Xenopus tropicalis: one gene and its partners. The protein of the gene in region 1 interacts with the protein of each later gene in a pairwise test. Links are inferred from orthologs where the notes say so. Each region holds a gene or a part of one and is shown in the gene's direction. Other genes may lie near its edges.

Region 1 (5,559 bases):
TTAAATTTTTATTAACTGCCGAAATAATGGATTTTGTACCAACAGCGCCACCTGTTGGTCAGTAACTGTACAGGCAAAGAGATATATGATCAGAAGGAAAACAGAGAAGGGTTCTGATGTTGCTCAGGAAGGAGATGGGAAAGGGCGTCTGAGGCTTCTGATCTCTTTCCTGAGAAGAACAACATCAGGACACTTCTCTGTTTCCCTTCTGAACATATATCTCTTTGACTGAACATTTACTGACCAACAGGTGGCACTGTTGGTACAAAATCCATTTTATCGGCAGTTAATAAAAACTGAAACCCCTAAAACATGCAAACATCATTAGTAAAGCACTTTGAGCAATTTCACAATATTTTTGTAAGGTATACTTATCCTTTAACCCCAAATGAATGATCTGTCTAAAAGAGTTGTGGACTTGGCCAGTGTTAGAAGACCTTACAGATCATCCATAAAGAGGGCGGAGGTAGTTTTCCCAGACAAAAACACATTAGATATGTATGTAATATCCATAATTCTCTCCCCATTAAGATGTCGATGAGGAGTGGAAGGAAAAAGGAGAGTGTGGGCCCAAGGGAAGAGCGCAGAGCAAGGGGGAGAGCCTCCCCAGGTGCCATCAGCACCTCGAGCAGCGACAGCAAGAGTGAGAAGGGGCGGCCGAGCGGAAAGGTAAGAGCAGAGAACTGTCCCGAACTCCCCCAGAACAGTTTAAAGCAACAGAAAAAACCTGATAAACCTAATGGGGTGCAGAACCAGATTATATAGAATCCCAGCAACGCCCATATTGGAGAGGGAAGTAGGCTGCATGTTTGTATTATTGTAATTCTTTAAAGGGGAACTCCACCCAAACATAACCTAAGCTTTCTGAAAAGTAAACATAATAGCCCAGCCCTGTTTTGAGAACACAGGGATAGTAAGATTGGTAGAGAACTAAGCTCTTTTGTTATTTCTCTCTCCAGAAGGGAAGAATGGAAGATTCTGTCCCAAAAAACAGCAAGCGGGAGCGAGTAAAGGATTCCTCTGAGAGTGAGGGGGAGGCCGGGAAAACCCAGAAGAAAGCCAAGATGGAGGTGAGAAGTGTTGGCAAATCAGAATTCGCCACTAGCTGATACTGGCTTTTGTAACGTTTGTCATTAAAGGCAAATAATGTCACATTCAGCACAGTACCACCTTGCCAAGTGAGCGGATCTTCTCCCAATATCCCCATCTACGGGTGGGCGATATCGGGTGGATTTAGGCTAATTTGGTTGTTTGGCCCTGGGGCCAAACGATGGTAATGGGCGCAGTTGGTTTGGCTTGTTGATGCGGTCCCCGATCCGACTAAATTTTTTAAACTGCCCGATTTCTGGCCAGATATCGGTTGGGCAGGCCCGTCATTGGTGCCCTACATGAGCCGATAAGCTGCCGAATCGGTCTAAGGGACTGATATCGGCAGCTACAATCACCCCGTGTATGGCCACTTTTAGACTCAGGGCCAAACGATCAAATTAAAACGCCGTTAATGGGCGCAGTCGGTTCAGGGACCGCATCAACAATCAATGCGGTCCCCGATCCGACTACATTTTTTAACCTGCCTGATATCTGCCCGATTTCAGGCCAGATATCGGTCGGGCAGGCCGTCATTGGTGCCCCTACACGGGCTGATAAGCAGCCGAATCGGTCTAAGGGACGGATATCAGCAGCTAGAATCGGCCCGTGTATGGCCACTTTTAGACTCATTTGTGGTTGCCACAGAAATACCTGGGGTGACATAAAGGTGTGGGGTTATAGTGTAAAAAAAAACAGAAAAAAATGGGACAGATCAGGGGCATGTGGTCTGATCAATCAGGGGAAGCTGGCAGGCATTGGCTAGGATATGGGTGGCATAAGGTGGCCAGATCAGGGGCCTTACAAGACACTGAGGAGAAAGTCAAAATGGGCCTGCAGTTGCATTTTTAATAGCGGCCTGGCCTTGTCCCTGTCTTACCAGCTAGGCTGGGGCAGTACAAGCTGAGTGGGAAACCTTTACTTACCCATATTTGCCTTCTGATTGATAAAACCTGTGCCAGTAAGCCTGTGTGGGAGACTGAGGGGGCACTGCTAGCACACAGCCTACGTCAGCTCCCTGCAATATGATGGGAATTACAGGTAAAAGGTATTTGACAGGTTAGAAAGTCCCATTGGGCAAGGCACAAGTCAGTGTGTTGTTCCTCTCCTGATGCCTAGACCTCTATAGGATCTGATTGTTGGCCCAAGGGCCAAACGGTTGGCCCAGCATGCAGATAACCAGATCAGGAAAGGAAAGGCCCAAGGGCCAAATGGTTGGGTGGTCCTAGTTGGCCCAGCATGCAGATGGCCAGATCAGGAAAGGAAAGGCCCAAGGGCCAAACAGTTGGGTGGTCCTAGTTAGCCCAGCATGCAGATGGCCAGATCAGGAAAGGAAAGGCCCAAGGGCCAAACAGTTGGGTGGTCCTAGTTAGCCCAGCATGCAGATGGCCAGATCAGGAAAGGAAAGGCCCAAGGGCCAAACAGTTGGGTGGTCCTAGTTAGCCCAGCATGCAGATGGCCAGATCAGGAAAGGAAAGGCCCAAGGGCCAAACGGTTGGGTGGTCCTAGTTGGTCCAGCATGCAGATGGCCAGATCAGGATAGTAAAGGCCCAAGGGCCAAACGGTTGGGTAGTCCTAGTAGGCCCAGCATGCAGATAACCAGATCAGGAAAGGAAAGGAAAGGCCCAAGGGCCAAACAGTTTGGTGGTCCTAATTGGCCCAGCATGCAGATAACCAGATCGGGAAAGGATCTGCTTGTTTTTGGACCTTGCCAACTGAGGGAATCTGTGTATGTACAGCTTTAAATCTAAATCAGTGCAAAAAACAGGAGTAGCATTTAATATTCTTTGGTCTCTGTTTTATTACAATGACTACATTCTCCTTCTTGTGTCTCTAGTCTCCTGAGGTCCCGCGTCCTCCCCCAGATGACGAAAGCCTCGATGGTCAGAGTGGCAATGAGGATGGCGGCAGTGACCCACGTGACATTGACCAGGATAACCGCAGCACTTCCCCAAGCCTACACAGTGGAGATAGCGAAAGTGATGCTTCCTCTGTTCCATCCCCCAAATCTTTCCCTCTTTACCGAGGCTCCTCTCCCCCACGACCTTCTTCCTCACCTATTTCTGAGCCCACAGTTCTACCGCCCCCATCTCAAGCTCCACAAACAGCAACCCAGATTGAGCCACAGGCACCACGACCGTACCAACCGACGCATCTTCCACAACTGTATCCAAGTAATGGTGGACTAGTCAAGGCGGGGCCTCCTCAGCCTGCCCAGGTCAAGCCTCCACCCACCACTCCAATAGCAGGACTGGGCTCCCCCAGACCATTAGGCTCCCCCACAGCCCCAGCTTCTGCACCTACCAATTGTTCCTCCTCTGCATCTTATCCTCATGTGTCTCACAATTTGCCACCACCCCCGGCTCTTCGTCCACTCAATGCATCACCTGGACTTCAATCTCAAGTGGCAGAAAAGGTTGGCCAGCCACTCCCACCTACATCTGCTTCACTTCGTTATCCCCCTTATCCTGGGCAATATCCATCCAATTATCCTCACCCATACCCTACACAGGGCAAGTATAACCAACCACAGCCTGGCCCCCATTCTTCCTGGGGACAGAGTGGTCTAAACTATGGGCGTGGGGGAGGAGGCCCCTCGTATCCACAGCCACCCCCCCAAAATGGACAAGCAGCAGGTGGAGGGCAGAATATTGCTGGGGGATTTCCACCCCCCCACCATGGAAGCGCAAGGGCTCAGTCCCCTCTAAATAACCACCCACCTCATCCTCACCCCACTACTGGTGGAATTCAGTCTCCAGCCTCCCAAATCAGTGTTCTCCACTCTCACGGAGGGGCATCGGGCACTAGAGGGCAGTCTCCTAACCACCCTCTGAATAATGCCCATCACCCTCACATTCTACCAAACAGGGGGCGCTCACCTACCCCGCAGAGCAACCTGACTCCTGGGAGCACACCTCAGTCAGGCCACCAGCCAGCTCACATCTTACCGGGTGGAATTATTTCTCCAAATCCTCCCCCTCAGAACAATACCCAGCTGACATCTTCAACAGGAGGAAGTGCGAGGGGACAGTCGCCTGCACCTACAAATACCCCTCACCTCCTTCCCCAATCCAATTCATCAAGTGGGAGCATGGCTTATCCTGCGCCAGCGGAGCCCTCAAACCCACCATCTACACACCCTGTCTACCAGCCTCATTCTTCTCCATCTGTGTGCCAGTACCCCCCCAGCTCTCAGACGTATCCCAACTATCCCTTTCAGGGCTACAAAGGTGCACCTCCAGCTGCTCCACCTTATAAAACTGCCCCACCACCACCTTATAAGCCAGGATCTTTCCCTGCCTCCACACCTCCTCCTCCTTCCCAGGGATTCAAGGAGGCATCTCCTCCGGCAACGGCTCCTGCCCCTCAACCCGTCCCTCAACCTGTCCCTCAACCACCAGCCCCTGCTCCTGTTCAGATAAAACAAGAACCTCCCGAAGAGGTTGAAGGTGAAGGAGAAAGTCCAGTTCCTCCTGTCAGCAGCCCCTCACCGCCCCCAAAACTTGTGGATACACCAAGCCATGCCAGTCAATCAGCTAGGTATATAAGTATATGCACATAGCAATGCATGAGTGGGATCTTGGTGGGATACTGGTCTAATTGTATACAGAGTAATGGGCAAATGGGTGGAGCTATCAGAAGGGAAGAGAGGCAGAGGGCCCTGGTGTAAAGGGGGGAGGCCATATAAGAAATGGGTGGGTCTTCCTACAGATTTGGTGCATAAAGCAGTTCAGTGGCGTGAGCAGACCCGTGGTACCTTATGGCAGGAACCAATAGCAAATAATATATATGCACTAATATATATATATGCACTGATACTCATAACTGTGTTTAAGCTTGACTGATGGGTAAGTGGGTGGGGCCAGATATGAGATGATCATCACCGTGGTGGAATGATCATGAATGTTAATAATGCTTTGATATTGACAGAGGGCAGAGAAATGACAGTACAGTAGTGAGGTTATTATAATTGATTACTTACCCCAGTACACTTTGCCAATGGCTGGCACATACTATACTCTGCTCAATAACCCCCCCCCCCCCCCCGCTCTTATTGATACAGATTCTCTCTCTCTGCCATTACTCTCTGTGACCCAGGTTTAACAAGCACCTTGACCGAGGGTACAACTCTTGCTGTCGCACTGACCTTTACTTTGTGCCTCTGGAAGGCTCCAAACTCTCCAAGAAGAGGTCTGAGCAGATAGAGAGAGCTCGGAGAGAGAGCGAGCAGAGAGCACGCGAGGAGCGAGAAAGAGAAAGAGAGAGGGAACGTGAGCTGGAGAGAAACACGGTACGGCAGTCACTCCCCAGAGATCTTCCCTTCATGTTGCATAGCTGTCCATGGCGGATCTAGTGGGGCTCATACAGTCCCCGTTCTCCCCATACCTGCTATCTTCTACCATATGCTGCTTTATACATGGGTTCCTATTGTATTTACTTGTTATAAATTACTTAGGACATAGAAATACTTCA
Region 2 (6,190 bases), about 100 Mb from region 1:
TCAGATCCTGACTGGGATTCATAATAGGTCCTGGCATTTTATGTGCAACAAAGGCCCAAACAGCCCCCACAGGCACAATAAATAGTGACTGTCTATGGCATCTTATAGCAGCCCCTCTGGCATTTGCTGGAATCCAGAGATCGCCAGTCTGGGCCTGCCCCCATTCATTTGAATGCCCTCATTGGTCTACAAACTCCTCCCCTAACCTTAACTCCCACAGCCTTATTGGCCCTTACAAGTCTGTTTTGTGTCCTGCACTCTTAAAAGAGGGTTCTCTATAAAGTTTAGAAAAGCAATAGATCATTTATCAGTCTGTACCCAACAAGGTCTCAGTTTTGCATGTGTTACTACTGTGCTCTTTCCTGTCATGAAGCACATATGATTATACCAGAAAGGTCCAATGATCTCTAAAAGATCTTTTGTATCAAGCTTCAGTGCACAGGATGTTTCCACCCTATAAAATCTGTCAGACACACAAGAATGGAAAGCAACTAGAAAAAAAAACAAAGCCAAAAAATAGCTAATGTCAGGTTTAGGCACATAAATGCTGAAACTGAATAGTAGCAACACTATGGTACCCGACCCCTCTGTCAAGTTCTCTGGATCAAGGAAAAATACTTTCCCCAATCCTTTATATACACGTGCCTTCTGTGAGGTAAATTATCTTTCTTTGTAATTATCAGAAAATATTACATGAAAGGTGTAGTTCATTTTGATGCCACTAACTTTTTAAAATTGCTTTACAATTGCATTAAAAGTGCTTTCCCAAAATATAATTTGACTTCAGCTGAAACTGGAAGTGCCCGGTCATTGTGCAAATTAAATATTTGTGGGCCGTGCTTATAATTTTTTCAGTACTGAGTAAATGTGAACCAACTACCAATAATGTTGGCTTTAATATTTGACAGGATATTTGGTCAAATTCCAGATTCCCTTTTTTACAGGAACTATACTGATCAGCTTGCTGAGGGGGAATAAAGAAAATGTTGTAGATAGCTAGTGGTTACATGCAGAGGCCAGGGCAAATGTTAGTTTAATTGATTTTTAAAGGAGAAGGAAAGTCATTTTGGCATTTTACTGCCAATAGATTCGCCACATAAGTGCCACCTAGAACACTATATTTATTCTTCAGACAGCATTGCCATACCTGGGTAAAGAGCCATAGAAGCTTTCTCTGTTTGCTTAAGAATGCAGCTGCCATTTTAGTTTGGACTTCATAGCTTCCGTCTGTATAGCTCTAGCCATTATAGCTGACATTACACATTCCTAAGGGAGGGGAGAGGTTGTTCTAGCATTCTTGTGGTGGTGCAGAAGTGAGGAGAGAGCTGCACAGATTCTGGCCCCAAGAATGAAGGATTTTCTGAAAGAGGAAATCAGATACAGGAAGAACATGTTTAAAAAAAAAAAAAGGAGACAATAAATCCTGTTTCTTTTAATGGAGGACTCACTGCATCTTTTCTGTGAGTGCTTATGGTTGTATTTACATAGACCTTTCTCATAAAGTTCACTTAGTTTTTTACCTTTCCTTCTCCTTTAACAAAATGTAACCAGATAATCCCATTATCAAAAGGGCTACTTAGTAATGTGCAGGCTGACCAAAAAATTCAAGGTCCAGCTTTGGGTGACTGTGGTCAATTTAAGTTGGGTGTGGGACACACTCAGGAAGTCTATTTAAGGTGGCCATACACGCACCGATAATATCGTACGAAACCTCGTTTCGTACGATATTCGGTGCGTGTATGGTATGTCGGCGAGTCGACCGATATCGCAGGAACCTGCTGATATCGGCCGACTCGCCGATCGCCCAGTTTGAAAATTTTGATCGGGCGCCATAGAAGGTGCCTGACCAAAATCTCCCTTCAGCGCTGAATCGGCAGAAGGAGGTAGAAATCCTATTGTTTCTACCTCCTTACCTGCCGATTCAGCCCTGAATGGTGTGTGGCACATCGTCAGATCGCCACGTGTGTGGCGAGCTTTAGTGTCTCTGCCCTCTGACATCAATGGGCTCCATTTTTGCTTCCAAAGATGCCTTCTCTTGGAGCCAAAGGCGCACACAGAAGCAGCGTATGGAGCGAGTACAAGTCCCAAAATGGCAATATTTGAGTTTTTCCTGACCCACACATCACAACTGCTCATGTCCCCTTCTATAGCCTGAGGGAGAAAATCCAGTCACCCTTAACACTCCAGTTCTTGGACTGGAATGGGAAATTCACTATTGCATAAAGCATTATAGCAATCTGTGCGCTAATAGTTTAATTTACAGTTTAAATAAAATAAAACTATCTCATAAGTTACCACAGCACTCTGCCCCCTTGCCCCATTAGCAAAGTCCCTCAAATACACAAACCGGAAGTTCCCTAAAATGGCTTCGTGAGGGTTGCCCTCCTCCCCCGACCAAACTTTGATCTGTTTTTCAAAGAAATACTAGTTATTTTAACAATGCTGCTTCTTCTTGAGCAGAATTTTTATTTGAAAAAGGGCGTAATTATATCACCAGCGTTTACTGTACTGAAAAAATATAATCGCTGTTTGCAAGGAGAAGCTCCGCCCTAGCAGCGGCCCTAATGGAGACTGCTACTCTCTTCCTAAAGACTGTTCGTCCCGCTTCTCCCTTACGTAACATACATGTTTGTATATGTATTTGGCATACGACGCTTCCAGTAGCGGGATTGGCCAGCCGCAGTCACATGGCCCGGTGACGTCACGCCCGCCGCCCACAGTTCCATTTCAGGCATACAGAAGCCGAGACTTCCGGGGTGGAAGGAAAGTAAAATGGATGCCGTTGTGTGAAGACAAGGCCCGTCAGAGCGACGAATGATATAACGAGCTTGTTAGGTCAAAAGGGCGATTTTCTTTTGTTTGTTATTTTGTTTTTAAGCGATACACAAACGGTAGGTAAGTTTGCGCGTCTCTTTCTGTTGTCTGCGGCCCTATAAATTCCTCATCGTATGTGCCCTAGCTCGGCCTGTATTGGGAGTTGTACTGTAAGGGACGTAATTACATGCAAACGGCTTGATTTAGGTGTGCGCTTACATATATAATGATTATATATATATATATATATATATATACACACGTAATATATATAATTATAACCCAGCACTCACAGGGCTAATTATATATATATATATATATATATATATATATATATATATATATATACACATATACATACACACACAGGGTTAATTAAATATGTGTATATATCTTTTTTTTTTTTTTTTTTTTTTTTACGTGTGTATGTATTTGTGTGTGTATATATATATATATTATATACAAATACATACACACAGGTAATTTTTTATATATATATAATAACCCAGCACTCAAAGGGTTAATTACTACAGCGCATCCAGCAGGCAAATAGCTTGTGTGCCCTCCTATATAAACATATATGTATATATATATATATATATATATATATATATATATATATATATATATATATATATATATACACACACAAGACCAAAAGGAGAACACCCTATAGAAATACAAATGCCCAGGGTGGTGGCAAAAAAATTATTATATAGACAGAGAGCCGCACACACAAGGACTTTGCAAAAAAATCACACTTTTAATGAGAAAAAAAGTTTGTCCCTGAGGAAGAGCACAGTTTGTGCTCAAAACGTTGGACTTGTTTTTTTCTCATTAAAAGTGTGATTTTTTTGCTATATATATATAACAATTTGTTTTTTCTGAACATTTGGTTAGGCCCCACCCACACTAAATTTTTGTTTTTGTTTCAGTCATGTGGCCCTAGTTTCAAAGGCAGGTGAGTCGCACCCCATGTGACTTTTAATTAAAGCTATTTAAAATATCTAGAAGAGCCCTATGGTTGGCCCCCTTAACACTGTACATGCTTTTGCTGATTTTGGTGTATGATGGGGGGATTCCAGTCGATTTCTGTGTACCATTCAGGCGGCTATAGAAATTTTGGTCAGGTTGGCCTAAAGAAACAACAGTGTCGGAATATGTACAATGAAATGTAGAACAGAACTATACCCAAATACCCATCTGTTGAATTTTTTCTGTATGTTGACAGAGCTGTCAATCCCCCCCCCCCATATATTTTGAAGGCTCTCCTCCGACGTCATTTGATGCATTTGCCCAGGTAGAATTTTTTGGCTTCAGCTGCGTGGCGTCATTTCTGGGTATTGGGGGAGATTTTCAGTGATGTGCTGACAAGTGCCACATTTCCCTCTGGTGACAAAGCTGTCAGGTTGATAAAAAGTGGCCACACACACAGCAGCCTGGCTCGGCATCCAACTGATTGGCCAAGAGGACAAGTTCCGTACAGGGCCATGTTTTTGTTGTGCTGTTTTTTGTTCTGGTTGAAGAATTGAAACAGTAGCTGTGGCGTTGCAGCTCCTCTTCACTTTTGGCAGGCCAGCTGAAATTTTCTCTCAGGATTGGGAATCCTTGATCCACCTCAATAGCAGTCAGAATTTCTGCCTGATTGGCTGTATATCTCAAGATAGTCGGGCACCATTAGAATAAGCATCAGTTGGGCATTGCTAATATCTCACAGTGTATAGCTGTTTCATCATAATGCCTGAATTAGCCCACAAAAATGTCAACTAGCAATAGATAATTGGCCTAAAAAAACACTGTGCCATAGCCCTAGTAATAGTCAGTCAGACCACTGACTGCCCAAATCTGGTTATCTGGCACCTAAGGAACAGTAACACCAAAAAATGTTTTAAAGTAATTTTAAAATAGTATCTGCTGTTGTCCTGCCCTGGCAAAAGTTGTTTGCTTCAGAAAGTCTACTATAGTTTATATGAATAAGCTGCTGTGAAGCCATGGGGGCAGCTATTCAAGCTGGAAAAAAGGAGAAAAAGCACAGGGTACATAGCAGATAACAGAGAAGCTCTATAGAATACAATTGGAATGTACTCCGCTTATCTGTTATCTTCTTTGTGACCTGTGCCTTTTTTGTAGCTTGAATGGCTGCCCCCATGGCTACACAGCAGGGTTTATATAAACTACAGTACTGTTTCTGAAATAAAAAAAACACAACTTTAACCAGTGCAGGGCAACGGTAGGTAATATACTAATTATTTTGATACATTTTCATTTTTTGGTGTTACTGTTCCTTTTAATTGTCATAATTATTGTAGTGAATTAACTGAAGGGAATTATGGAATACTGAGATAGTATTACAATGGCCTCTACTTTTAGTAGATTAAAAGATGTGGCAAATGTTTTTTTCTGTGTCCAGTTTTTTAGCACAAACATTTAGAGACTGATTAGTTGTAAGCTGAGCTATTCGTTGTTCTGAAACCAAACCACTCTAGCATCTGTATCTCTCATCAGCTGCTTACTCACATGCAGCATAAAACAGGCCAGGACTGGGAGTCAAAATAAGCCCTGGCATTTCAAGTACCCAGAGACCCAAACAGCCCCCCCAGCCCAATAAATAACTACTGTCTATGGCATCTTACAGCAGCCCCTCTGGAATTTGTTTGTGTGTGTATATAACATATGCATGTTTGTTAGGTTGTATCGGAACAGTCTTTGCTGTAACTTCTACAGAAACAAAATGTATGAGTTATTGGTTATGAGCCCAAGTATTGTATATTGTGAATTTCTATTAAAGTTTTTGATTTGCTGTGCTCTGTCCAGCTAGAGCTCCCTTGAATAGATTTAATTTGTCTTTAGGCAGACATACTTGTCTTTATATGACATGAATGTTTTTTAGAATCTGGAAAGTGAAACACGGATGTTAGTCAGTTCAGCTGACCAAAAAATATATCCAGCAATGTGGCAATGTCTTTTGCATTTGCACTGTTTGGTCAGCATATATTGTAGCTACAGTTGAATATGTAACATGAAGAAAATGATATTATTTTTCATTTTCATAGGAAACATTTTGTCGGCATCTTGAATCCAGAGGAGTTTTAGACGGCTTATCATGGCTACCAACCTAGGGGAGCCATTAAATAACGAGTGGTAAGTTCCAAATTTTTCTTTAAATGTGTAGTATGTAAGAGGGTTTGTAGGTTGGATTAAAATATAATGGTTTAGTAGTAACCAGGGCTGTGGCGTCTGTACATAAATCCTTTGACTCGGACACCTCGGTTTATGGTACCGACTAGGTTTTAAATTTACTAATGCATTTTACATTAGTAAATATAAAAGAACACAATATATACAAGCATTTTTTATCCCTGCCAAAGCTCAGCAG
Region 3 (6,095 bases), on another chromosome or scaffold:
GAATTTTGCAACAGGGGAATGACTGGTTATTGGACCCCAAAGCAATATCATTGGGCACCTAAGCTTACGCAGTTTACGTAATTTATGCAAAAACTTAAGTAACATATCAAGTGATGACAGCACAGAGCAGGGGCAGGTAGGTGGGAAGGGGTTAAACTTAGGGCAAACTCCACTGCCCCCCTATAAACTGAATGACTTCTTACGACATTAATCAATGGAACTCTTTATATAAACAGCTGTTTATATTGTGCACACAAGGGGCGTATCTAAAATGTTGGTACTGTGTGCTTGTGTTCATGGGGGGCCCCATATAAATAACTTTTGCTGGGTCCCAAAGTTTCTGATGGTGGCCCTGCCTGCCTAGGGTGTGAGGGGGCGCTAGGCAGGTACCTCTGCTGCCACCCCTAGTCCAGGATCGCTTTCCCCCACATTTGATTTCCCATGTGCTCCCTCCCTGCACTGCATCTGCGCGCCTTGCATGCCACGCTCCCCCCTCTGGGGCGTCCTGGTGTGTGCGCATTTTTGTGCATGCGCGGGGAGGGGGAAGTGGTGGGGCCAAGGTGGCTGGCTGGGTCGCCTAGGGTGCCTGGCCCACTTGGCCCGCCTCTGCCTATTAGTAAATGAACCACACATGAGGTGATTGTATTATTTATCCTGTTTCTTTGCTATTTTGTTCTGGGACACCAGAACAATATGTTGGCACAATGTTTAGGTGAAAACTACTACAGGTTGGTGCATTATTTTAAGAAGATGATAGCCAGCGTGGGGTAAGGAACATACTTTTCTAATCCCATCCTCTAAATGCAACACTCTCCACAGCCCCTTTAGCACACATGCCATATGAGGCAAAGGCTTAGCAACAAAATATGCCGGTTTGTTTCAAAAGCGTTGAATATGTTGCACTATAGCACAGTTGATTCCCTCACACAAAAATCTGGAGCTAATAAAAATGACACCCCCTCTTGTTGTGATGTGCAGGTTGACCTGAAACATGTGGGGTCTGTTTTTGCTTATAGCCCACAATCCCTTATCAATAGTACTGGTTGTTTATCATTAAAGTGATACTGACACCAGAAATTAAATCTTTTTTTACATCTATCATTCATTATCTTAAAAGTATTTGCCCAATACTTTTACATTACATTACCTACTATCTGATCCCCCATGTTCCTCTGTGAGGGGACTGCCAAGTAACAGTTACTTAGGGCCGTGGTAGACGGGGAGATTAGTTGCCCGTGACAAATCTCCCTTGTTGCGGGCGACTAATCTCTCTGATATGCCATCATACAGGCTTGAATGTAAATCGCCAGTGGTATGGCATATGCGGCGTTGCGATTTCCGAAAACTGCGGAAGTTGCCTTGAGAGGAAACTTGTGCGATTTCGGGAAATCGCGTCGCCGCATATGCCATACCACTGGCGATTTACATTCAAGCCGGTGGGATGGCATATCGGGGTGATTAGTCGCCCGCAACAAGGGAGATTTGTCACGCGGCGACTAATCTTCCCGTCTGTCACAGCCCTTAGCGCCAGTATCACTTTAAGGCTAATGGCACTTGGGGTAGTGCTGGAATGGCAAATATTCTGGCAAAACCCGTAGTGACTGCTGTGAATTGCATAGACCGGTGCTTTATTTGAGGTTGTTAGAGGACTGTCTCAGCCTCAGTTTATTTGTAATGCCAAGACTTATTTAGATCTTAGTACAGACAACATGGTGTGTTTTGACTACTACCTGTTAGGGTGAAGACACACAGAGCTACTTAGTAGCAGCTACTTGTCACAGCTACTAAACGCCAGAAAATCCCCTGCCACAGACAATACTGAGAATTGCCTCTGCTAAAACACATGTAGAGACAGTTATCAGTAAATGATCAGCATTGTCTATTTTTGCAGCTGTGACAAGTAGCTGCTACTAGTAGCTCCATGTGTCTTCACCCTAAGTGCCAGTGCCAAGTGGGGTGCTGGAGTCTTTACCCTTACTGCTTCTAATGGCAAGTGCATAGGGTTTGCAACTTTTAAAAATGATTTAACCTGCTGGGCTGGGGTGACAAGGGGGGTGGGGTGATGCTGTAAAGGCCCAGGGTGATAATATGAGCAGAAGAGAATTGGCATGTTGGGCAGAGGGCAGCTTCTGGTCTGAAAAGGGATGAACAATTAGGGTGGATCAGTGCAATGACACGCAATGGCACTGTTATACTGGTCCCAGCTTTAGCATGTGTTTTACCACTGGTAGAATAGCAACCCTGAAAGTGTCCCTGCTGATACACTTGGAGCAGTAAAAAGCCATAAACTAATGCTGCCTGAAACACAAAAAGTTGATTTAAACTTTAACAACAACTTTAACATGTCCCTCCTGGCCTAGTCTAAAGAGGAGCATCAAACTAAACTCATACAGATTAATGCGGGTTTAGCCAGAGAATTATATAGGTGACGTCACGCAAAGCTTGTCCCAATCCTGTCACGACATGGCCACGCCCCGTGTTATTGCTGGTAGGTGGGAGACACGTGACGTTTCCTGGGCGGGAGTTTGATGACGCGAGGGGGCGGAGTCCGGGGAAGCTCTGTGAGACGGCCGCAGTGGTGCCCGGAGCTGGCAGCGTGTGAATCGGACGGGAGCTCGGAAGGAGGAAGAGGCGGCCCGGGGAGGGGAGGGGAGGCCGAGGACGGGACATCCGCCCCGGTATGTTGGCAGCTGTGTCAGCTGGTTGGTGAAGTCGATAGGTTTCCCGCAGCAGTGTATGAGGGCATGTCGGTGCCACACACTGCTTGTTCTGCTCCTTGCCCCTAGGCTACTATTCCTTGTCTCCGCCTGGCATTAGCTACGGGCAATACCACTAGTGCTTTGCGCTGCTGTCGGTGATCCCATTCCCCGCTTTGCGTTTTTCTCTCAAGCCTTTCATTGTCGTGGTTTGTTGCGATCCGCTATTCTCCGGTCTCAGTACTCGCTCACATCTCTATGGCCTTAAGGGCCACCGGATATCTCGCTAGCTGTTTCCTTTCATCAGGGGCTTCTGGTTATTGTGTCACAGGTGGGCTAATGCTAGCCTGACTTCATTCATCATATGACTTGAACCCTGTACCCTCCTAGTGCCGCTGCCAAATCTGCCCATATCCATGTATAGTGTATAGCAGCAGCCTCCTTGCCAAGTGTATCCATGTATGTGCTACTTCTTTTGTGTCTTCCTTGTCTCCATGTGTAATGCTCACATTTAGCTTCACTCTCCTTGCCAAGTGTATCCATGTATTTCCCACCTCTGTTGTGTCTTCCTTGTCTCCATGTGTAATGCTCACATTTAGCTTCACTCTCCTTGCCAAGTGTATCCATGTATGTGCCACCTCTGTGGTGTCTTCCTTGTGTCTTTGTGCACTCTTCACATTTAGCTTCACCCTCCTTGCCAAGTGTATCCATGTATGTGCCACCTCTGTGGTGTCTTCCTTGTCTCCATGTGTAATGCCCACATTTAGCTTCACCCTCCTTGCCAAGTGTATCCATGTATGTGCCACCTCTGTGGTGTCTTCCTTGTCTCCATGTGTAATGCCCACATTTAGCTTCACCCTCCTTGCCAAGTGTATCCATGTATGTGCCACCTCTGTGGTGTCTTCCTTGTGTCTTTGTGCACTCTTCACATTTAGCTTCACCCTCCTTGCCAAGTGTATCCATGTATGTGCCACCTCTGTGGTGTCTTCCTTGTCTCCATGTGTAATGCCCACATTTAGCTTCACCCTCCTTGCCAAGTGTATCCATGTATGTGCCACCTCTGTGGTGTCTTCCTTTTGTCTTTGTGCACTCTTCACATTTAGCTTCACCCTCCTTGCCAAGTGTATCCATGTATGTGCCACCTCTGTGGTGTCTTCCTTGTCTCTATGTGTAATGCTCTCATTTAGCTTCACCCTCCTTGCCAAGTGTATCCATGTATGTGCCACCTCTGTGGTGTCTTCCTTGTCTCTATGTGTATTGCCCACATTTAGCTTCACTCTCCTTGCCAAGTGTATCCATGTATGTGCCACCTCTGGTGTCTTCCTTGTCTCTATGTGTAATGCCCACATTTAGCTTCACTCTCCTTGCCAAGTGTATCCATGTATGTGCCACCTCTGTGGTGTCTTCCTTGTCTCTATGTGTAATGCTCTCATTTAGCTTCACCCTCCTTGCCAAGTGTATCCATGTATGTGCCACCTCTGTGGTGTCTTCTTTGTGTCTTTGTGCACTCTTCACATTTAGCTGCAATCTCCTTGCCAAGTGTATCCATGTATGTGCCACCTCTGTGGTGTCTTTCTTGTCTCCATGTGTAATGCCCACATTTAGCTTCACCCTCCTTGCCAAGTGTATCCATGTATGTGCCACCTCTGTTTTGTCTTCCTTGTCTCCATGTGTAATGCTCACATTTAGCTTCACTCTCCTTGCCAAGTGTATCCATGTATTTCCCACCTCTGTGGTGTCTTTCTTGTCTCCATGTGTAATGCTCACATTTAGCTTCACCCTCCTTGCCATCTGTATCCATTTATGTGCCACCTCTGTGGTGTCTTCTCAGTGTCCATGTAATGTCCATATTGAGATTTTTCATGATTAAAACAATAGGCAAAAAAAGTATGTTCAGAAAACAACAATTAATAGAGGGTACTCCCTTATGCAAATATAGTAAAGGATGCAAAAGTAAAGACTCTTACCCAAATAGAGGCAAAAGTAAAGCAAACTACAAAAGGTCACTTTGCACTCCAAAACAAAGTATGTTCAGCACAAGCCCTGTGTATTGAGCTTGTGCTGTGCAAGGGGGGTATACTGCCACTCCACCTTTTTTGCCAACTCAGTGTTGTCTTGCGCCTGTGCACCTTTAGGGTGAAGACACACAGAGCTACTTAGTAGCAGCTACCCCTGCCATAGACAATACTGAGAATTGCCTCTGCTAAAACACATGTAGAGACAATTATCAGTAAATGATCAGCATTGTCCATTTTAGTAGCCATGACAAGTAGCTGCTACTACCGGTAGTAGGTCATTGTGTCTTCACCCTTAATTGCATTCTCTCTGCTTAGTCTACCCTTTTTTTGTCCAAGCACTCCCCGCCAGGTATGCCGTTGTCTTTTGTTTATCTTTTGTGAAATTTACTTTGGACCAAGTGCATCGTACTTTAGCTACCAGTGTTTCCCAACCATGTTGCTCCCCTAATCCCTTTGATATTGCTTCCAGTGGCCTCAAAGCAGGTGTTCATTTTTGAATTTCTTACTTGGAGGCACAAAGGCCATGTGTACTGCCACACAGAGCCAAATATGCCATTATTTGGCACCCCCTTGGAACTTTTTTCATGCTTGCGTTGCTGCCAACTCTTTTTATTTAAATGTTTTCTATAGGTAAAAAAGTTGGACACCTTTATTTCAAACTTTCCATAGGTGTTATTTCTATATCATTTCCATAAAGCTTGTCCAAGTTGTTCATTCTTGCCATACTACCCCCCCCCATTGTCAGATTATTGAATAAAATAAATAACGAAAAATATATAGTAGTACTTTGCCCTAGAAGTTGTATTAATGGTCACCAGCCTTCTCAGGGCCTTCAACAGGTTACTTAACCTAATATGACTTGTAAATGTGTGCCATGTCATGACAAATGTGTTTACTGATCATGTATCACTGTTATTTTGAAAGGAAGAAAGGTTATGTTGGTTGGTTGGTTCATTGTGGATAAAAATGTATTTAGTTTTGGCCATTTGTGCTGAAAATACTATTAAAAACCTTTGTCCCCAGTTGATTGAAACTTTAGTTTGGTAAATAAATGAACAGCCCATCCTCATACACTCCCACAAGGAGTCTTGGGAATACTGTCTGAAACTGGTCTTATTACTACATTCTAACAATGGCTAAACCCCTTTGTGGTAACTTATTCCAAACAGTCAGTGTATATGTCCTTATCAAGTAGGTTATATTGGATAACAAGGAGACAGTGGGCAAAGCATATGAAGAATACCAGAATTACTGAGTCCACCTAGAACAAAATATGCAAACTTACATATTTTTTTTCAGTATTTTTATGAGAGAGAGACATTGGAGACAGTGTCCCACAAGACAGAACAGAATTACATAGTGAATGACTGTTAAACATCTG

What was found.
Region 2: the proteins of atn1 (region 1) and leukocyte receptor cluster member 8 interact in a two-hybrid assay, tested with the Homo sapiens proteins (2 studies listed by BioGRID and IntAct). The link is inferred for Xenopus tropicalis from reciprocal best matches to the Homo sapiens genes ATN1 and LENG8.
Region 3: the proteins of atn1 (region 1) and wwp1 interact in a two-hybrid assay, tested with the Homo sapiens proteins (2 studies listed by BioGRID and IntAct). The link is inferred for Xenopus tropicalis from reciprocal best matches to the Homo sapiens genes ATN1 and WWP1.

Annotation. Positions count from the first base shown.
Region 1 is NC_030683.2:9,456,792-9,462,350, reverse strand, and holds part of atn1 (atrophin-1), read left to right. Parts: intron 1-531; coding exon 532-669; intron 670-959; coding exon 960-1,070; intron 1,071-2,923; coding exon 2,924-4,626; intron 4,627-5,184; coding exon 5,185-5,377; intron 5,378-5,559. UniProt on the Homo sapiens protein: Transcriptional corepressor. Recruits NR2E1 to repress transcription. Promotes vascular smooth cell (VSMC) migration and orientation. Corepressor of MTG8 transcriptional repression.
Region 2 is NC_030683.2:112,086,263-112,092,452, reverse strand, and holds the start of leukocyte receptor cluster member 8, read left to right. Parts: upstream 1-2,693; 5' UTR 2,694-2,891; exon of another isoform or gene 2,892-2,895; intron 2,896-5,867; 5' UTR 5,868-5,917; coding exon 5,918-5,955; intron 5,956-6,190.
Region 3 is NC_030682.2:125,461,517-125,467,611, forward strand, and holds the start of wwp1 (NEDD4-like E3 ubiquitin-protein ligase WWP1), read left to right. Parts: upstream 1-2,598; 5' UTR 2,599-2,678; intron 2,679-6,095. UniProt on the Homo sapiens protein: E3 ubiquitin-protein ligase which accepts ubiquitin from an E2 ubiquitin-conjugating enzyme in the form of a thioester and then directly transfers the ubiquitin to targeted substrates.